Linked DNA regions of Schizosaccharomyces pombe. The protein of the gene in region 4 purifies or fractionates together with the protein of the main gene of each other region. This does not show direct contact. Each region holds a gene or a part of one and is shown on either strand. Other genes may lie near its edges.

The links.
Region 1: the proteins of cwf14 (region 4) and lea1 purify together in Schizosaccharomyces pombe (affinity purification with mass spectrometry; 2 studies listed by BioGRID, with this or other methods). This does not show direct contact.
Region 2: the proteins of cwf14 (region 4) and cwf10 purify together in Schizosaccharomyces pombe (affinity purification with mass spectrometry; 3 studies listed by BioGRID, with this or other methods). This does not show direct contact.
Region 3: the proteins of cwf14 (region 4) and brr2 purify together in Schizosaccharomyces pombe (affinity purification with mass spectrometry; 2 studies listed by BioGRID). This does not show direct contact.

The regions. Positions count from the first base shown.
Region 1 is NC_003423.3:4,144,785-4,147,832, forward strand, and holds lea1 (U2 snRNP-associated protein Lea1), read right to left. Parts: upstream 1,487-3,048; 5' UTR 1,280-1,486; coding exon 1,199-1,279; intron 1,138-1,198; coding exon 505-1,137; 3' UTR 501-504; downstream 1-500. Other genes in the region: elc1 (elongin C), read left to right, coding at 1-5, 46-94, 138-271, 310-314; serine/threonine protein kinase Ppk22, read left to right, coding at 2,872-3,048.
Region 2 is NC_003423.3:4,050,957-4,056,501, reverse strand, and holds cwf10 (GTPase Cwf10), read right to left. Parts: upstream 3,947-5,545; 5' UTR 3,902-3,946; coding exon 3,876-3,901; exon of another isoform or gene 3,832-3,875; coding exon 3,472-3,831; intron 3,434-3,471; coding exon 3,082-3,433; exon of another isoform or gene 3,023-3,081; coding exon 806-3,022; 3' UTR 523-805; downstream 1-522. Other genes in the region: protein Mtl3, read right to left, coding at 1-334; SPOM_SPBC215.11C (aldo/keto reductase family protein), read left to right, coding at 5,120-5,545. UniProt on the Schizosaccharomyces pombe protein: Component of the U5 snRNP complex required for pre-mRNA splicing. Binds GTP.
Region 3 is NC_003424.3:1,459,274-1,467,171, forward strand, and holds the start of brr2 (U5 snRNP complex subunit Brr2), read right to left. Parts: upstream 6,007-7,898; 5' UTR 5,987-6,006; coding exon 1-5,986. Other genes in the region: Tf2-1 (retrotransposable element/transposon Tf2-type), read left to right, coding at 6,574-7,898. UniProt on the Schizosaccharomyces pombe protein: Involved in pre-mRNA splicing. May be involved in endoplasmic reticulum-associated protein degradation (ERAD) and required for growth at low and high temperatures. Required for pre-spliceosome formation, which is the first step of pre-mRNA splicing.
Region 4 is NC_003423.3:2,341,909-2,347,818, reverse strand, and holds cwf14 (G10 protein), read right to left. Parts: upstream 4,279-5,910; 5' UTR 4,116-4,278; coding exon 4,084-4,115; exon of another isoform or gene 4,014-4,083; coding exon 3,634-4,013; exon of another isoform or gene 3,590-3,633; coding exon 3,561-3,589; 3' UTR 3,363-3,560; coding exon of another isoform or gene 528-3,362; 3' UTR 519-527; downstream 1-518. Other genes in the region: msh2 (DNA mismatch repair protein), read left to right, coding at 277-307, 351-433, 528-3,362; endocytosis protein Dip1, read left to right, coding at 4,669-4,723, 4,819-4,908, 5,029-5,910. UniProt on the Schizosaccharomyces pombe protein: Involved in mRNA splicing where it associates with cdc5 and the other cwf proteins as part of the spliceosome.

The DNA.
Region 1 (3,048 bases), 1.8 Mb from region 4:
CGAAGGTTTGATAATGATATTTAGTAAAGTAATTCTAATGTATAGGAATATTTTCTGAGGCGCAAAAAAATGAATGCACATTTCCTGATATACGGTATGCAATTGGTCTATTCATTCAATTCTAATAAGGTGTCTAGGGCAACACTGTTGGAAAAAGTTTGTGAATATTTGCATTACAATTACAGATATAAAAATCAATTAGATATTCCAAAGTTCGATATCCCACCTGAGATGGTTTTAGAATTATTGGTCACTGCGGAATATTTGGAAGGTAAGATTATCATTACTATTTAAAGCTAATGAATACAGCATAATTCTGATTACTCACGAGGAACGAAAGGATTGCTAAATTGCTACAGCATTAAAGAATTGACGGTTTTTGTTTACGATTAACGATTTGATGCCTTAAATAACTATTAAACGCGTTACCTATCGAATGCAAGAAATGAGATGGAAAAAATGTATTATATAACTATGCGGTTTCTAGAAATCTTGTGAGTTACTTTATTTTGGAATTTTCCCCTCTAATAGCATAGCTTCCAGTCGATTTATCTCAGCAATGGAAGAGGCATTTTTAATGGCTTCTTTGATCTTTTCTCTTTCCTCAGGTGTAAGTGTATATCCAGTTGTAATAGGAGAATTCGCTTCTGGGTGGCTTTGTACCAATGCAGCCAAATCAAATACTCGACTTTTCACACCCATAATAGAGGAAGCTATTTCTGTAGGGTTTTGAATTTGACCAAACACTTCTTCAGCACGAAGCCTTTCATTTCTTCTAACCCGTTCGAAATCTAAAATATGTAACGAAGGAATTCTCCATATAAGATATAATCTATAATATTGTTTTTGAGCAACTGGATTGTCAATGCACGACAAATTAGTGAGTTGAGGACAACTAGCCAACGGATCTAAATCTGCTATTTCTTGAAGATGATTTTGTGCTAGGGATAAAGTCTTTAAATTCGGAAGAACTTTACCTATGTCTGGGGCTATAGCAGTTATTCGGTTATTTCCACACAAAAGCGTTTGAAGCCTTTTCATACGAGGGAAATTCCCTAAATATCGAATGTCATTGTCTGTGAAATCAATTGCATCGTGTACGTCCCTTAACACTCCTAAATTTTCAATTATTGGAATCTGATACCCTGTAATTATGAGTTAGCTGGATGACACGTAGCATACAGTAATTTCTTTAAACATATCTTAAATCAAGCTCAGTTTCTTTCAAAGGACTGATGAATGAGGGTACCTGAGACAAAAATTCAGCATTAAGACGCATGAAATTTTTGTAATGAAAATGCCTTTTTTATGCTGTTACTGCAGTATGATTTAAAATTCCTAAAAAATTATCCAAAACGCTCACAATCCTAAATTTCACTATTGTTTATTCAAAAAATGTTATAGTTAACGTTTTAGAATCTAATAATGTAAAGTTAATTATGTAAAAACCAAGAATATGACACGTCAAGAGAAGAAGCAAAGTGGTAGAGTTTGGATAGTAAGCACATAAATAAATACAAAGAAATCTTGACTCAATAAGCAAAAAATACTCACTTTTTCTACTTTTTAGATTTAAAAAAAACAAATTATGCGTAATTATACTTTGATAATTGACTGACGACTTCCATGTTCAAGAATCGGCTTTCGTACTAGAAAATTCTTGGGAAAACAGAGAATAAATGATTTTTGTATATGTGTGTTTTGACACCTTTAAATAAAACATTTTTTCATTGTTGTCAAATATATATCTTAAGTTTGTCAGAAATTGGTACACACTCTTTTATCTGTTGAGCTCTCAAAAACAAACACAAGCAATCGACTATTTGGATGAAACACACATTGTTTTCCACTCAAAGTTTTAGTTCAACTCATCTATAATGTTCATACTGCCTCCCTATTTGACTTCGTGAGCACAAACCGCCAACGAAAGTTTGAAACCAGGTTATTTACAATTATTCAGAGTTGCTTAAGGAACCTGTTTTCCTATTAAAAAATTGCATTGAGATACTTACTAAACTGCTATATCTTTTTGTTTTCTCATTTAATGAAAAACATTCCAAAAACAATATTGACATCAAGTCGTTTTTTAATGTAACAGTTTTAATGAATTCTTCAGATTGTTTCTATCGTATTGCTCTATCTCAATGAAAGCACTGCTAAGAAATTATATTTAAATTGATATGACAGCTTCTAATATCGAATCAACTATCCATCCTCATACTAATACCACATGAGTCGGACTAATTGAAAATGCCAGCGATATCGACAAATGTACATCGACATTTCGGATAATGTTTGGGTTTAGAGTAGCCTCTTTTGTAGTTGAAAGTGGAAGAAATACATGATTAAATGTTGTGCTTCCATAGCTCGTGTACTTATAAATCATACAGTCACTCTTGAGAATATGAAATTAAAAATCACTGCATTTATTCTAACACTTATTCTGTTCCAGTAAGAATTATTCAAACTGAATTTACTACAAAACTACAGATCAATACCCACACATAAAAACCAAAAACAAGTTTTTTCTTTTATTTACAATAGCTTCAACTAAGTATTTTGAAGCTGCTTGTTAGTTAATGCTACAATATGACTGTTTATTTCTATATGCTTAAAAAGAGGATTATATAACATAAGGATGGCCGTGGCTCCACTAACTATTCTTTTGCCGACACCTCCAAATGAAACAAGAATTAATATAAGCAGGAGGAATACCATTCGGCTAGTTATATTAGACTATTTGGGAGCTTTGAAGTCGTTTTTCAAGTTTGCTTACATTCTGATTTATATTAGGTATTATAAGTGAGCCGTCAGCGAAATTTATTAACCGGTGAATGTTTGAAGCGCTACGAGATTAATGGATGACTTAGAATGGCTCGAGAAACTGAATTTAATGACAAAAGTCCCTCTTCCACCGATGATGGTATGAGCCAGTCGCACTTTTCAGATAAACTGAAAAATTTGTTTCACTTTCGTAGGAATCGAGCGGCAACCGTTTCTACTAGTGTCCGAAATGATCAGAGGGATAATGATTCTGATGACTCAACC
Region 2 (5,545 bases), 1.7 Mb from region 4:
TAGTTGCGGGATCAGAATAAGAGCTGACCGGAGACGAGTAAGAATTAGTTTCTGAGGGAGTAGCAGATTCAGAAAAGATACTGGGTTCACTAGAGCTAGTGGGTGTCGCATACCCGTAGTAAGTAGGAGTTCCTCCAGTTTCAGCGGCACGACCATAATATCGGATTTCCTGACGCCTTTGTAGTTCCTCTTGAGAATCTCTGCCCTCAAGTTGATTTAAAGATATTTTTGTGAAGCTGGAATTACCATATATTTGATGCACCAAGAAGGCTTGCGTAAAAATGTTCGATATGCAAAATACGCAAATGAGAGAAAACAAAAGTCTCAAACCCATCTTCAGTTTTAAGGATAATAATAAACTAATCTAACTAAACTCGCTGTATTTTACTTCCAAAAGCAGAGCACTTCCGGAAGTTGTATATGTCCCTAAAGTCTTCCGGTATACTGAGAGGGTAACTTCATGACATATGACCTCGGGTGTTTATAGTACTATGAAATTACGTTATTTCAGTTGAGTGTTAGTTTCTTAACATAAAAAAATAAATAATAGAAGTTATTTATCTATATACTAAAATCGTAAAACCAAAATGCGACTTTTCCTTCTGATCAAGGATTTCACAAATAATTTACGGCTTCAAGATATGCGCTGATTTTTCGGATTTCATACACTGTAAACGCGAGATTTGAAAGCAAAAAAAAGTTGTTAGACTTCTCGAACTTTCATAAATAATCGTATACTTTATTATTAAAATCTACCCAATTTATTTTTTTTTGCAAAATCCATTATAAAGACTTAAAACCGACATTACAAAGAGAGTACGACACCTGCTTCTTTCAAAGAATCAATCATTTCTTGATCGAAATAGCGAGTTGTAGAAACATCTTCCACCAGACCTTTTCTACGTCTTGTCTTAATCAGAAAGTCTCTCGCCAAATCAGAGCCACGTGCGGGTTCTAATGGCTTGGGCTTGATAGACTTATCCAGTGGATCACCAGGTACTACCTGCCAATGATCAAATACCATTTGACACATAGCTTGACCCTGAGTATGCACTCGTAAATCTGTTTCAAATCCACAAGAATCAATGACTGGAATAAGTGCTCTCACCAAATATAATGGGGAACCTGGCCGAGGGATATCTTGGAGGACATGACCACGACGACGCGTTAATAAATCATAAATAATAGGAAGACTGTCAGCGGGGGCATGTACTTCAACCATATACACTGGTTCCATTAGCCGTGGAGACGCTGTTAAAAAAGAAGAATAACACACTCTCCTTGCGGTTGGAATAATTTGACCACCTCCTCGATAAATTTGTTCAGGTGCAAGCACTACATCCATCAGGCGAAAATTCACGTTTCGGATTGTCTCATCACATAGAGGACCTTCCCTAGTCCCCCATTGAAAACCTTGTTTAATGTATTCTTTTACGCTATTAAGCACGTTTTTATCAACATCTGTACTAAGAGTATCATCCCGCAATATATTCGTACCACGATCATCGGGACCAAAAGCCCAGATGGAACGTGAAGCTAGTAAGTCCCAATCGTAGTTCTTTTGGAAAAATTCGCTGATTCTTTTTTGAGGCCAATTGATATTAACTTTTCCATTTTCAATGTCATTAGAAATTCCTTTCTCCAATGGCTCAACTACCATTGTGATACGATTTTTTTTATTTGGAGTATCTGAAAAACACTTGATACTTGATGTGTCCACCGCAGTCTCACAGAAACGAGCAACTGGATCGGAAACTCTGATTTCGATTTCAGAGTATAAAGTCCGAAGATCATAAAGTAGACAATCCATATACATCTCACCAGTACCGAAAATAGTATGTTCCCCAGATTCTTCTACTTTTGTGATAGATAGTGGGTAGCTTTTGTTTGTTTTTCGTAGGCCATCAAGTAGTTTTGGTAATTCTGATGGATTGTGTGGCTCTACAGCCACCTTGAAAACACTCTCGGACATGTGAGCAATTGGCCTGAAAATGTAAGGATCATCTTTCAAATTGTCCGAAACGATGGTTGCTGTTTTGCTAATAGAGTTATCAACACCTCCTAAAAGAACTAGCATGCCGGCAACAGCTCCATCAACGTGAAGACGATATCGTGCGCAAGGTACACATATTTCAGCAATATGAGCAACCACCATATCCTCTTCGTCTTCTAAAGAATAATTTTCTCCAAGAACTTTAACTTTCTGACCCTTTTTAACCTGACCACTATATACACGAGCAAATGCATAAAAATTATTAGCATCGACGGTGTTGTAAAGTTTAGTAACATGCATGACTAATGGTGCTGATTCCTCACGACTCATTTCTAAGATAGCCTTGCCGATACTAGAGTTTATAGGCCCAATATATGATTGAGAGGCTTTACGAGCGGCATTTTCTCGAGGCGATGGAATATGTCTAGTAACTGCATTCACAAAACCAACGGGGAATCCAAAAAACGATGCGCAAATTAGTTGCAAGAGTGGTTTAGGATCTAATAAATAATCCTTGGGTTTTAAATAAATTTGGAAAGAAGATAAGTGTTTTTTGAGTTTTTCGGCTTCGTCAGAAATAGTAAGGGTATGTAATTTATACAACGGTTCTAATATGAAATGGACAAAGCTTCTAACGCCAGAGCCATCCAAGGACTGTTTGGCAAATTTTCTGGTTTTCGAATCGAAATAAATATCCCCCCACAATCTTTTAGAAAATAAGTCCACGTCGATACCTCCATGTCTATCTATATAGAGTTTTGCGAAACTAGACAATGTAAAACAATATCCAAGATCACATGAAGCAAAACAAACGTTCCCTAACTCAGGAGAAACGCGATATTTCAAATCTTTACTAATCTGGCAAATGTTATCGTTTACTTCGTCGATAACGTGTCGAAGTTTATGGTAAGCATCATTCGGAGGGAGACGTAGCTCAAGGATTAACCTATCAACTTTGTTCAAGACGAGCACAATTGGCATATCGTGAAGAATCGCATGTTTGATAATTCTAGTGGTGTTAATCATCACCTAAAGCATGTTAGAATCTTTATATCTTCAAAACGCAAGAAAAGGCCAGAATAACTTACACCTTCAATAACATCAACGACTAATACAACACCATCACTTATGGCCATAGGAGCAGCGACTTCATCAACAAAATCGACATGACCAGGCGTATCGATGCACTGAAATGCAAACGTCTTACCCTTCATATCAGAAACTGCGAGCGTAAGTGGAGTACTTTTTATAGACATCACACGTTCTCTTTCAAGATAATGAGTGTCGGTATATCGAAGTGAACGCCTTTTTGGCGGCTTGGTGTCAGGATGGGTATAATAAACGAGTAAATCTAATAAAGCGCTTTTGCCGTGATGCAGATGGCCAGCAACAATAAAAGATCTAACGTCATCTGTCCCAGTTAAGAGACCGAAGAGGAACCTTAAAAAGTTAGAAAAGACATTGTTACACATACTTACTCTTTCTTGTATACAGTATCTGGGACGTTTGTTGTTTCTATAGCAATCCTTTTGTGACGAATTGGCTCAATAATGGGCTGGCTTAAGGGTTGAGTATCCTGTTCCTGAACCATGATATCCACGTTGGACCCATATACCTCTTCAGCGCTAGGATAATATTGTTTATCCTCGTGAAGAACAACGGCATTCTGAGGCTCTAGATGACTCAACGCCATTTCCTCGGCCCTTTCAACGTCTTCTAATTCTTCATCAGGAATGACCTCTTCAAAGGATGGTACCTGTGCAATTGTAGGGCTAGGAGCCTGAGGAAACAGCTCCTCTTCATCTTCTTCATTTTCAGGGCCTATGTAATTTCCAAACCTGGCGAGTTAGAAATAACTATAAAATGTTTTTAGACCACTTACTCATCATATAAATCCTCTTCCATCATCAGTTACTGCCAAGTACCCACAATGCACAACTTTTGGTAATTACCAAATTTGAAGTAAAGTGTAACCAAGTTTTCGAGCTTTAGCGCATTCATGTCTCAACTGCGATTTATATCTCGTTAAGCTTTGATAATGAGCTAGAGAAATCATTGTCTTTATACTCTCTAAACGAGATATGATCGGCTCAGTAACTTCCACTACACTCTTTAAGGTTGCCGAAGAACGACATCGTCTCATTTTGATAGAAAGGAATGAATCGTAATTATTGAAAACCAAATATACTTTTTTATTTACCAACTTCCTCCTTAAAAGTCGTACATGGGTGTAATTGAGACCTTAAAAGACTGGTTATGTCTACGATTTGAGCTACCGACCCATGTTTAGCAGCCAAATTTATAAGCTTTTCGAAGACAATAGTAAGAGTAAATAGCCATTGTAAAAGTGCGGTGCAAACATTTTTAGAGCGCAAGTTTTGCAACTGTACAAAGTATTTAGTGTGTTTATAAAACACACAACAAATTGCTGAATGTCAATAACACTAATAATATACTGGCATCATCAACTAAATTCAAAAAATGTGTTTCCTTTCAAATACAGTCCTAGAATTGTTATTATGTGCAATGTTTACCTCGATTTACGGAACTGGTCAACCCATTTGTGGTCTCCAAATGATAACTCGTAGTACGATTTGATAGCACGATCAAGCATAATTCAAGAAGATGGAAAATATAAATCCACATTATCTTGAATAGAAAGAAACATAGCAATAAAGATCATTATCGTTATGTGCGACCATCGTTGCTCATGAATAAAAATGGGCTGGCAAAAGAAGACAGAGATACAGTTTAGACAATTCATCCAGCATCAGATTTTGGAACCATAAAATTATCATTAAATTGAATAAGAGCCAAATCAAAAAGGACTTAGCTATTTACTCTAATTCAAAATCCAACCAGCAATATCGTACTATAATAGTATTAGTCATCGTTATGACAATATATTGTCTAACGCGCTCTTACATCATACCACTGGATTCTGTAAATAGGGTATGTAATAAATCAGTTTTCGTGGTTTAAGATAGTCCGCATCAATCCAGCTTATGTAAGGAATACACCATGTAAAATTACTATAAAAGGAAACGGCGTCTGACATCCCACACTTACCGGATCCACTATAGTACTTGATCTTGATTTCTAAGAAAAGCGACAAAAGACACAAAAATGAGTAAAACTGCAGCTTCTTCCGCCGTAGATGCTTCACAAGCTGGGACTGTCAAGGTTGGCGACATGGTTGTCAATAGAATGGGATTCGGAGCAATGAGAGTTACCGGTGATGGTATATGGGATGAACCCAAAGACAAAGAGGCTTGCATCGCAACTTTAAAACGTTTGCCTGAACTCAATATTAACTTTATTGATACCGCCGATTCTTACGGCCCTGAGGTCAGCGAGAATCTTTTACGAGAAGCTTTATACCCTTACAAAGGACTTATAATTGCTACCAAGGGTGGCCTTGTTCGTACAGGTCCAAATGAATGGCATCCTTGTGGAGCACCCAAATTTTTACGTCAAGAAGTACTTATGAGCATGCGTCGACTTGGAGTTAAGCAAATTGACCTCTGGCAACTACATCGCATCGATCCCAAG
Region 3 (7,898 bases), on a different chromosome or scaffold from region 4:
AAGGACTATCACGATCCCATAAAGCTTGCGTAACCATTTGCGACATCTCCATTGGTCTAATACAAGCTATTAAATGGCCTTCGGAAGACAATGTATCAACACAAGCGCCCAGAAGATTATGTACCCTAGTCAAAATGAATTTCTGATCTATAACTAAACCAGGAGGCAATTCAAATCTAGAAAAATGAGCTGCAAGAAGAATAAATGATTTCGTATGAGGATCTTCATAGTTAGGATTACTTAAGCGAACAGGCAGGCGGGAATGAATTCGCTCCAGCACAATATCTTCATACTTTCGAATTGGGAGTTGCTCATATTCTGCTGCTGATGTAACAATTTCTAGTAATCCCTTCATCTTCGTGCGCTCTGACAAGCTCAAAGCAAACGTTTGCATAGTAATGTATGTAATTCCGTAATGAGAAGCTATCATTGCTAAATTTAATGCGACACAACTATCATCCTCATCGTCTACAGTGATTAAGCGTGCCTCACTCAAATCATTCATGGTTGTTTCTACAAGATCCGAAAGGAATTCAGAAACCGACTCATGAGTGATATCTTGAAGACCATAATAGGCAGGATTGGCAACTAGTCTCCGGTACATATACGACCATGTAAGCCAATCTACAGCATCTTGTTTGCTTTCAATGGTTTGCGTAGATATTTCTGACACGAAAGCATCGTGCAGCCAAACTTGAAGATGGCTTTCCATGGGTAATGGCTCATTTAAAAATTTCTTGTAATATTCCTTCTTAGTAGTGACAGTCATAAGAATAACCTGGCTAAGCTCACTTGATCCAATGCTAGCAGTAAACCCGAGCATTTGTAATAACTCACTTATAGGATAATCAATATAACGATGTTCTTTGCCATCATAGTATTGAGTACCCATCACAATAACAGCGTTTGATTTTGCTTTTAAGGAATAAATAACATCGCGAGAAGCTATCAAAACCTTGATAAGTCCATGACGGTAAAGATATTGTACAATATTCTGATCATTGGACGATGTGATTTCACTAATATAAGCAATACCATGCTTCAATGATTGCTGCAAGGCAGCATCTTCAACTTTATTGAAAGCTTCATTCTCCATTAACGAAAACAAATACTCATCTTCATCAGCCATACTGAATGTAACTAAATCAAAAGCTAATTGTTTCGCTACTTTCCTGTCAGGAGTAAATACAATAGTAGACTTTCTCTGAGAAATAAAGTTCTTCAAGCTGCGATATATAGGCTTGCTCATAGCCAACATAAGGGAAGGGAAATGAGTAATACTGAATGATTGCAAATGAATAGTAAGAGGATTAGGCCTGTCTTTAGGACTAAAATTAAATATGCATTGTGGACTAGTCCCAAGCCACTCACCCAAATCTCGAGCATTAGCAACAGATACTGAAAGGCCAACCACTCGGATATTTTTTTCTAATTGTACTGCCATGTACCGTATCCGTGAGATCACTATTTCGTATAATGGACCATAAAATCCACCAAGCAATTGTAATTCATCACATATATAAAAATCAACTTTCTGAATGCTTCGCATACTTCTCCATCTCTTCGACAATGAGTCCCATTGCGATGGCGTGCAAAATATCAAGTCAGCAACTTGTATCAGCTTCAAGTCTTGTGAACGCTCACCCGTCAATTTTACCAAAACTTTCCCATCACCGAGGTCAGAAAACTTGCCATACCATTCTTCATATCGACGATCAACGATTTCCTGAATTGGGGCAATGTAAACTGCAGTACCATAATCTTCTTGACTCCAATGATGTAACAAAGCAAGTTCGGCACAAACAGTCTTTCCACTTCCATTGGGAGCACCAATAAAAACACTATCGTTGGTTTTATAAACAGAGTTAAACACCTGTGTTTGAATCTTGTTAAAAAATTTAAAATTAGGGTAGAGGGAAATGAAGCTTGGGTTATTAAGACTAGAGACCGGGGCGTTCTGAAGATCAAGAAGAGGTGTTGGCGCAGGAAATTTTTCTGGCATTATCAGGCGCTGAAATGAAAGAGGTACCTTAGTTATCGAGTGTAACCATCGATCTGAAACTATCTTTATAAAGTAACAAGGAGGAAGAGGTTCTAACAAAGGTACTGTAAAATTTACAATATGCTCATCATCTTTGTATTTTTTAAGAAGGAAAAATTGTTCATAATGTAGCAATCGGTCCCCGTCCACGTCTTCTACAAGGATCCAAAAAGCTTCAGAAGTGCCGCTTAAATGATCATCCCAGTTGAACTGAGAATTTATAACAAGTTCGACCCGCACAAGCGATCTTGTGATAGGTTGAACATGTGCTTCGACGCTCAACCTTGGAAAAGACTGAACCATGTTGTACACACGCCTCCCTTCTTTTGGCACCCCTACTAATTCTCCTAATTCAGCAGGGTCCAGATCAAAGTATCGCTGCCAAGGAAATTCCTTTTTCTCAACGCGGCGTATTACTTCAGAAGGACAATTGGGAAACTGTCGAAGGGGGCTCATAGTTGGCCAAAGCCTTTTCTCAATCATTTTGCATGTATCAAGAGAGAGTGTTGCAACAGATGACCAACCACGTCTCAATGATATCTCGAATATTGCACGCATAATTCTACCCGCTGATTGCGTAACGTATACCATGTCTGCCACAAGTGCAAATCCATCCAGGCGTTGTCTTGATATATATGATTGGAGAAGGGCATTAATCTTGGCAGCAGGTTCATCTAATCTTTCCCTAATAGGAATTGGTACTCTTTCCAGCAACTTCGCGAGTTCAACTTTCTCTTCTTCACGGACAGGAATGTGCTTAAATTCATCAGAAAAACTGAAGACTCGAAATAACTCGATAAAGGATGTTGTCTGCATTAAAAGACGATTATATATGGCCATCGAGTTATGAGTAACGTAATAACTTGCAGCAACTTTTCCCAATTCCGTAGCGGTCAACGTACCACTCTGACGATTATACACTAGTAACTTGCATTTTTCTAATAAAATGGCAGCTGAATGAAGTAAGTCAGCTCTTTTTTGAACAAGATATTTGTCATCATCATACTCTGGGCCGACGCTATATAGGGCAGGGGATCGTAACATTCGAACATAGAGGTATGTATAACCAAGCCAGTCTACGCCATCTTCGATACTACGAACAGTTCCTAACGATACTTCGGCATTTAAACAATCAGCTAGACGGCGCATAAATTGAGACTCAATTGGAAGCTGCTGATTCATTAGTGATAGATAATACTGTAACTCAGAGTGGGCGGTAATGATAATTCCTTCACCATATGTGTCGAATTGTGGGCGACCAGCTCTGCCAAGCATTTGCAAAACATCCTGAGGAGAGAGTTCTGTCCAGATACCCTTTTCAGGAGAATAAACTTGGGTCCCTTTGATGATCACTGTGTGCGCTGGTAAGTTTACGCCCCAAGCCAGAGTTGCCGTACTCACTAGTACCTGTATAGTACCATCGGCAAAAAGGTCTTCAGACGTTTGGCGATCCTCTCGTCGCATACCAGCATGATGTATGGCAAACCCATATGGGAGCAAATCTTTCAAATTTTCATCACTGGTAGAGTCGGCTTCAGCCCGAAGAATTTCACGGGATGCGGCATCAGAGCGTAACAAATGACCGATGGTCTCTTCCTCTAGTGCCTTATCTCTTATAAAACGAGCGGTTTTAGCGGTTTCTTTGCGCGAATGTACAAATATGAGGACCTGGTTTTTGCCAGCGTGTTGCATAACTTTTTCATAACAAGCTTCATTAGTCGTCTGCATTCGTTTAAACGGTGTTTTTTCTGTAATGCCTATAAATTCTTGCTTTAAAGGGCATGGACGATATGTCGAATCGAAGTAAAAAAGCCCTTTTTTAGGGTCGACATGTAAAAAACTGGCAACATCGGTATAATTAGGAAGTGTAGCAGACAAACCTACTAATCGAACTTGTTCAAGAGTTTCCTCCTGATGGCGAAATATACGAGCAACTATAGATTCTAATACAGGACCTCGTTCATCATGAAGCAAATGAACCTCATCAATAATAACTAAACGGACTAGATTGACATAAGATAAATCATTAGCTTTTCGAGTTATAATATCCCACTTCTCGGGTGTGGTTACAATTATTTGAGTTTCACTAATTTGTTGTTTAGTCAATTGACTATCACCAGTTAACTCTGCGACTCGAATATTGTATGGAGTAAGCCTCTTTGAGAAATTATTAACCATCTCTTGTACCAACGCCTTCAAGGGAGCAATGTAAACAATTTTAAAATTTTGTAAGTTAAAGCTAAGATCTTCACGTAAATGTTTTTGTAATTCGTTAAGGATACATAGCATTGCTACATTTGTTTTTCCAGCACCAGTAGGAGCGCATAAAAGGATGTTTTCGTCAGTACCAAAAGCGATAGGATAAAGATGGCTTTGGATTCGGTTTAAAGATTGAGTATTAAGAAAAGCTTGATGAGACCATTCAGGCAGTTCCTTGATTTTTACAAGACGCTCGTCAGCGCCAAGTACGGCTTTGTTGGGGGCAGGAACATGTATTTCTTCATACCCTTTACCAGTCCTACGAAACGAGCCTTCAGGTAGCTTGACAGCTTTATTAGACATGAGACGTGATCCCTCAGTAAACACATAATTTTCTAGATCAACTTGGTGCTTAGGTACAATTTTATGGGAAGTCAAAGTTTTCGAAAGTGGAATTTCAGAAACGGGCGCAGGTTCAGCTTTCTCAACAACATTATTATTTAATTCATTTAAACCGTCATCAGGTATAGTGATAGCACCAGGGCGTAGAGCTTCGAGAATCCAAGACCGACCAGCAGCACGAATTTGCTCTTCCACACCTAAGCGTTCTTCATCAGTAGCGGCGCGTTTTAACATTGTACACGAAACTATTGTCCAACGATTCTTAGTCAAAAGTTGAACAAGATAGAAATGTTCATAATCAAAAATACTCATCAATTCATTTTCCAATTCACCGAGATCGTAATCAGCCGAAAGTGCCTCAAACGCTTGATTTGTTTTTTCCTGACAAACGACGGCGTCAGCAAAATATTTTGCTATTTCTCGTTGCAGCCAAAATGCATCGATTTCACGAGGATGAACAGTGGGTATTTCGGTAACTTTTTTGGTATCAGCAGAAATAAATGTAACCTCTGTATCCGGATTTTCAATATTCTTTTTCTCTTCTTCTTGAGATATGGAAGTTTCTAAGACGACGTCTTCATCTTCTGCCACTTCATCCTCTTCCATTGCCTCAACAGCTTCTTCCTCTTCATCGGCTTCATTGAACAATACTGGTACGCCAGATTCATTAACGCCTTCTTCATTTAACTCTTCTTCTTGCTCAACTGTATAATCTGTTAAGCGATTTCCCAAGTTAACGAGCTGTGAAAACCGATCCTGTGGGAGTTCAGTACTCAAAACCTCCTCTATTTGCTTTTTACGACCTTGTTCATCTAAAGAACTATCCTTAAGAAGTTCAATAATCAAATCAGCAGCAGAACGGAGGATTTCAGGAGACTGATCGCCAAGGTATTGTTGAATGAAACTCAAGATATAATCATAAACTTCTCGGGTCTCGTCGGTTAGAGGATTATATTTCAAAATTTCAAAAGAATCAAAATATTTAAGTATCGCTGAAGAGCGCTTTTCGCGTTCAGGTTGCCGTATACCAATTTCTAAGGATTCTGCATCTTTACGAGGTAACCGGACCTCCTGAACTTCCTGCGTCAATTCGAGAGGAAGGGTACTAGGTTTTTCAATTCTCGCTCTAGAACCCATATCTGCAATACTAACTCGATTTACCAGAGATTCCGGTTCGCCTGTAGGTTCAGCATCACGTCGTGACACAAATCTTCGATCAGCCTGCGTAACCAAATTTGACATTGCAGAATAACTATACTGTGATTGACCATAGTTTGGCTTCTCCTTACTATTTCCATGTTTGGGAGGCTCTTTCGAGTCCCCTTTAGGATGTGCACTCGACATGATTGTGAGTGGCGGAGGATAAACTGAATTTTCAATTTTCGTCTACTTCGAGGTATTAGAAGTGTTCATTTCTGTCAGCAATACTACACTACGCTATAATACACTACGTTGAGTATCACTATATGTCACATGTTCTAATTATATATCGTACCATGTATGATACGATATGGAGATTGATCTTAATGATAATCTATTAAGATCAATATTATCTGAATACTATAAATAGAGCTACTGCTGAACCTCGTTCCTCAGTTCAGTTATGAGCTATATTAGTGATAGGTAACATTATAACCCAGTTAATACAATACCTATACTCAGTTGCTACTTATACAACCTGTGTATTGTAATATAATAGATCACAAGGAAAGCTCACCGCAGTTCTACGTATCCTTAAATCAGATACCAAACTGCGTAGCTTACAATAACTGAACTCTTGTGATCTACAATTAACTCCTTTTAGGAAAAAGGAATTATTGAATAAATATATATCATAAATATATATATTTCTCTCCTTCTGGGTTCAAAGGAGAAAGAACTTTGGAAGGACTGTTATCCCTTTTGAAATCTCCCAAAGGGAAACATATACAATGTCCTACGCAAATTATCGTTATATGAAAGCAAGAGCAAAACGATGGAGACCAGAGAATTTGGATGGAATTCAAACATCAGACGAACATTTAATAAACCTTTTTGCAAAAATATTATCGAAGCATGTACCAGAGATAGGGAAATTCGATCCTAATAAGGATGTTGAAAGTTACATTTCAAAACTTGATCAACACTTTACTGAATACCCTTCATTATTCCCAAATGAGCATACTAAAAGACAGTATACATTGAATCACCTAGAAGAATTAGAGCAACAATTCGCTGAACGCATGTTTTCTGAGAATGGAAGTCTTACATGGCAAGAATTACTCAGACAAACAGGGAAAGTACAAGGATCCAACAAAGGTGATCGTTTAACTAAAACATTTGAAGGTTTTAGAAATCAATTGGACAAAGTTCAATTTATAAGGAAACTCATGTCAAAAGCAAATGTTGATGATTTCCATACTCGCTTGTTTATATTATGGATGCTGCCATATTCCTTAAGGAAATTAAAGGAAAGAAATTACTGGAAATCAGAAATCAGTGAAATTTATGACTTTTTAGAGGACAAAAGAACAGCCTCGTATGGTAAAACTCACAAGCGTTTTCAACTGCAAAATAAAAATCTAGGAAAAGAGTCCCTTTCAAAGAAAAATAACACCACTAATAGCAGAAACCTGAGGAAGACAAATGTTTCGAGAATAGAATACTCATCTAACAAATTCCTAAATCATACTAGGAAACGTTACGAAATGGTATTACAAGCTGAACTTCCAGACTTCAAGTGCTCAATACCCTGTCTAATCGATACGGGCGCTCAAGCAAATATTATAACAGAAGAAACTGTTCGAGCACATAAACTGCCTACCAGACCCTGGTCAAAAAGTGTGATATATGGTGGAGTTTATCCAAATAAGATTAATCGCAAAACAATAAAACTTAACATAAGTCTAAATGGAATATCAATCAAAACAGAATTCTTGGTTGTAAAGAAATTTTCGCATCCAGCTGCTATCTCCTTCACAACATTATATGACAATAACATTGAAATATCTAGCAGTAAACACACGCTCTCTCAAATGAACAAAGTTTCAAATATTGTCAAGGAACCTGAGTTACCAGATATCTATAAAGAATTCAAAGACATTACTGCAGAAACCAATACGGAAAAGCTACCAAAGCCAATAAAAGGGTTAGAATTTGAAGTTGAACTAACTCAAGAAAACTACAGATTACCTATCAGAAATTACCCGCTACCACCGGGAAAAATGCAAGCTATGAATGATGAAATTAATCAAGGATTAAAAAGTGGAATTATACG
Region 4 (5,910 bases):
AGGCATTTAATTAAATAGATTAATTTTTAAGATTCAATTTATTAGCTTAGATGAATTTTTTAGTATGTTTGACTAGTTCTGTGTCATATAACTTTGGCAGCTACCAATCTCCCACTGTGTTACTTTCGACGTCGGTCCTTCGTTATTTAACATTCTTTAAATCTATTCCTTTTTTTGAGGTTTTTTATTTATCCTTTTTGAGGACTTAACTGTGGCAAGGAGTTTCTTCTCCTGTTTTATACATTTCGCGTTCGCGCTTTAGAACATTCAATCAATATGTCTTCTAGAAACGCTTCAATTGCTAATGGTTTGTCAAGGGGTTACTTCTTTGAACTAATATTTTAAAACAGAAAGAACTGATGAGGCAAGGATGTTTAATTTTTATGAAAAAATGCCTAAAGATACAAACACAGTGCGTGTATTTGATCGAGGGGTAAGTATTGATGAATAGAAAAATTTACTTAAACTTCGTAAAAAATAACTTGAAATATTATTATTTTTTAATCCAATCTAACACTGTTTTCTAGGAATTTTACGTTGCAATAGGAGAAGACGCTTCGTTTGTTGCTCAAAACGCGTATCACACTACTTCGGTGCTAAAACACCACAATGTGTCTAATACATCTTATTGTAACTTATCTCCTTCACTATTTATTAAGTTTGCGGAAGATGTTTTAAGCAACCTTGCAAAGAGAGTTGAAATTTGGGGAGCCAATTCCGCAAAGACAGGATTTGAATTGTTGAAGCAAGCTAGTCCTGGAAATATGCAAATGCTGGAAGATTTGCTTGTTAGTGAGAATTATCAAGAATCCACAGCCATTAGTGATAGCTCAGTTAGTTCGGTTTTGTTGGCTGTTACTACTAGGGTTAAACAAGATCAGCGAATAATTGGCGTTGCTTTTATAGATCCAATTTTAAAAAAATTAGGTGTTTCAGAATTTGTTGACTCAGATGCTTATACGAACTTTGAAGCTCTCATAGTGCAAGTTGGAGCGAAAGAGTGCATAATATCGCAATCTGGGCATGAATCGACGAATGGCAATTCAGCCGTTTCTATTAACACGGCAGAAATCAATCGTCTTCGAAATATTATTGAAGGTTGTGGCGCATTAGTTACAACTATAAGAAGCTCTGAATTTTCGGCTCGAGATGTTGAACTTGAGCTCTCAAAAGTGCTCGACAGTCCAGTTACACATGCTCTTGTTCCAGAACTAGGTCTACAATTAGCAATGGCATCCTGCAATGCATTGCTTCGCTATTTAGGACCTGCGTTACTAAACCCTGACATGGAAGACGACCGTGAAAACACATCTCGAAAGCTCCATCTGTATCATCACAACTTGGAACAATACATGCGATTAGATATTGCAGCAGTTCGTTCTCTTAACCTACTTCCTCCTCCCAATGGTAATGCTCATAAAACAATGAGTCTTTATGGTTTACTTAATCATTGTAGAACTGCGATGGGAGCAAGGAATTTAAGAAGATGGATTGTTCAGCCACTTTTGGATGCAAAATCAATTGAACGAAGACATGACTTGGTCTCCGCACTTGTGGAAGATGCTGAGGCACGCCAGTTATTGCTTGATGATGATCATCTTCTTCGTTCAATTCCAGATATTCCTAAACTATGCAGGCGTTTAACTCGTGGATCAGCTAGTCTAGAAGATGTTGTACGTATTTATCAAATGGCAAAGGCACTTCCGAAGATCGTTACGGTACTTGACTCTTTGACTAGTGAACATAAAGATTTGGTGGATAAAGTATACACGAACGTCCTTAACAATCATTGCAAAAACTTGGAAAAATTAATAGAGCTTGTTGAAACCACCATCGACTTGGAAGCATTGGATTCACATCAGTATATTATCCGTGCAGAGTTTGATGAGGAGCTATTAGATTTGCGTCAACGATTAGACGAATTACAGCATTCTATCTTTGAAGAACATAAAAGGGTCGGTTCAGATCTCCACCAAGATACCGAGAAAAAATTACATCTTGAGCAACATCACCTCTATGGATGGTGTCTACGCCTTACTAGAACAGAAGCTGGCTGTTTAAGAGGCCGTAGTTCTCATTATACAGAATTATCAACTCAAAAAAATGGAGTCTACTTTACCACTAAACGTCTTCATTCACTAAACAATTCTTATATGGATCACCAAAAAAGCTACCGGTACCACCAAAATGGGCTTGCACGTGAAGTTATAAAGATAGCTGCAACATACGGTCCTCCTTTGGAGGCGATTGGCCAAGTAATTGCTCATTTGGACGTGATTCTAAGTTTCGCACATGCAAGTACGGTAGCTGTAATACCTTATGTAAGACCAAATATTGTGGATTCAAGCATTGCACAAGAAAAGCATGGACAAAGTAGCAATATTTTGGACATTGTTTCATTAGAAGATACTCCTAATTTTGAAGAAATACGAAGAACTCTAGAAAATAATCATTGTGCTCGTCTCTACCTAAAACAAGCGCGACATCCTTGTTTGGAAGCTCAGGACGATGTGAAGTTCATACCCAATGATGTTAATCTTGAGCATGGAAGTTCAGAGCTATTAATCATAACCGGACCAAATATGGGTGGAAAATCAACGTATATCCGTCAAGTTGGAGTTATTACCGTCATGGCACAGATTGGTTGTCCAGTGCCTTGTGAAGTGGCTGATCTAGATATTATTGATGCTATCCTTGCACGTGTCGGAGCCAGCGACTCACAGCTTAAAGGCATTTCTACTTTCATGGCCGAAATGTTGGAGACCGCTACGATTTTGAGAGCTGCCACACCGCGATCCTTAATCATCATTGATGAATTAGGACGAGGGACTAGCACAACCGATGGTTTTGGATTAGCGTGGGCTATTACAGAACACATCGTGACTCAAATCGGTTGCTTTTGCCTTTTCGCAACACATTATCATGAAATGACCAAACTATCAGAAGAAATCACTACTGTCAAAAATTTGCATGTTACAGCCTATGTAGGTGATTCAGAATCGAAGGATGTAGCTTTACTCTATAATGTTTGTGAAGGAGCTAGTGATCGGAGTTTTGGAATCCATGTTGCTAAACTTGCGCACTTCCCTCCCAAGATTATTGAAATGGCAAGCAACAAAGCCGCAGAATTAGAAGCTGAAGACTCTGGAGCCCAAGGGGATACTCAAGAAGTGAAATCTAAAAAAGAAGGTATGGCAATTGTACGTGATATAATGAGACAATGGCGTAGCAACGTCAAACCAGAAATGACTCAGCAACAAATGATGGACCAATTTCAAAAAGTCATCGGCTCATTCGCACAGCAAATCAATTCCAACAACTGGCTACAATCCAGGGTATCCACAAATGAGGTTTCCTCATGAAGAATGTGAGCAAGGTACTAATTGAAAGAATTCAACCAAGGTACATGTTTTTTGGAAGCGCATTTTATGAATAAAATAATTTTTTACTAAAACGAGGAAAAGCCATAGATCAATGAATTTTATAACCCAAAACTGTTTCATTTGCCATAATAACCAAATAAAAAGATATAAATGGGAAACGAACCACTAGTTTTCCAATTAATCACAGCTTGCACAACCATTACAACCTATTTTCATTAGCAACTGGTAGCAATAGCACTTCTTTACTTACCACAATGAGTACATCTCACACGTTGATCTTTATCAAGTTTTGATTTAGGTACACGACATATACACGTTGAACCAAATTTTGACTCAGCGGTTTGAATACAGCGCAGACAACAAAGTTTCTCGTATCCTGGTTTTTTCCATTTGGCGATTAAATTTCCATCGGCATAATTTTGTTTTAGCAGCCAGTTGTAAAGTTCGGTAGATATGGCTTCCCGTTTGTAGTATAAATCGTATATATAACGACTGCGCTGATGATGAAGTTGAAAAATCGGTGCTAGCATTTCCGTCTTAGTTCCCTTTCCCATTGTATTCTCAATTTGACGCATACGATCTTGGAATTCAATAAGGGTGGGTTCTATTTCATCAAATCCGTCAGGAGGGCTATAGCTAATTAGAATCTTACTTCGTAGGTAAAAATAAAGGTAACAAGGAAAATACTTGGTATACATACCGCTTGGTTCTTGACGTTCGAAGACGAGGCATGATAACAGAATATTTTTTAAGCAAACTACGACTTTTCTTCAATAAACCAACACAGAATAAGGAATGCTTGCTTTAAAGAGATTAAATATAAAGAAACCGATAAAATGAAATCTAGTGATGGGTAGTTTTTATCCTTTTACTTATTTGGTGGTAGTGTACTTATGGGCAAGTTGGATTTGTGAGAATCCAGTGTAAATTCCTTGTAAAATAGACTGCCGCGATTGAAACTGTTGCAAGATATTCTTAACTATAGAAACTAAGTTTTTTCTCCGTTAATTAAATTATAGCCTCTTCAATTGAGGATAATTGAGAATTTTTGAATTTGTGTCTCCACTATATTTTATACCTTAACATATGGCCAAAAGGGAACCAGATGCATTTGTATACTATAATACTACAATACTGTTTTCATGGTATAACATTGACGCTCTGTTGTGTTGACTACTAATCATATATTAAAGTTGATTATCGATGGATATTAGCGAGAATTTTGTCTATTGAATACTAGGCTCGATAATGAGAAAGCGGCAATTAAACCTTCCCTAACCTCCACATGGAGTTCACGGATGTGTTTTATAATTTAGAGAATGAAAAGCAATTTTTGGCGGGTATGCAATTTATTCATAATTGTAAACTTGAATGTGCCTGGGATTCATTATCCTGGCTAAATAGTATTCCCGTTGACGCTAACATTTGGTGACAGAAATTGACGAACTTTTAACTATACCATACGAAAAAAATGAACTGGAAATTGGTGTTTCAAAGTTTCTTTCTTTTATCAACAAATATGGAGGTAATGTTTTGGAGAATTGGGGAAGCACAATTTTCCGTGTTTTTCCTATGGATGAAATACAAAGAAATTGAGTGTTTGTCTCTTTATAGAACATCTTATCTAACAAAATAAATTCAATAGAACCGTACCTAATTACAGAATTCCAATTGCAGAGATGTATGGAAAAGTTCCTCAATAGTCCGCTTTATCAACTAGACGAAAACGCCGTTTTAAGTATTTTCTATGATTGCTTTTTTTTCTTGAAAGAACAACAAACTTTGAAATTCATAATCATTGTCTTTCAATCCGAAATTCAAGAGAATGAGTACTGCTTGCGTTTGTTGGCTTCTACGGGGTTCATTCCCGTCTTGATCAAGGCAATGAAACAGTTCAAGGATCGTTCAGAAAATGTTGCTTTTACATCTTTTCGTTATGCTTTATTCTTAGTGTACTATATTTGTCGCTCGAGACGACTTTCACCGACCGACTTAGTCGCAATTGATGAATATTTTTTAGTAAACCTATTCAAAACGTCGGAAGAAGCTTGGAATGATGAGGACATGGACAGTTTTGGAATGTGCGTCTTGACATTGCTTAGCATCAATGAACAGTTTATGCTTGTTCGGCTTGCTTCCAAAGGTTCGTTTGAAATCGCAAATGGCATAATGGATTTGCTGAGCTCTTCCAAAGTGGATAACGGTATCTACAGTGAAGGCCTAGTTTTCACTCTAAATCGAGAAAAGGATCCACGCTCTCGAATGTTAATACTAAAACAACTATTCCTTCTTTTTACAACTCCCGCTACGTATGAGATATTCTATACCAATGATCTCAATGTCCTAATTGATATATTCATACGCGAAATAAACAATATTCCCGATGAGCTTTCGGATCTTCGGTATGCATATTTGCAAGTTTTGATTCCTTTGCTTGAAAATACACAGGTGCGCCATCCACCTCATTACAAAACTAAGTGTATAGTCGACGCGGTCAATAATGTCTTAATTTCTCACTCAAAAAGCA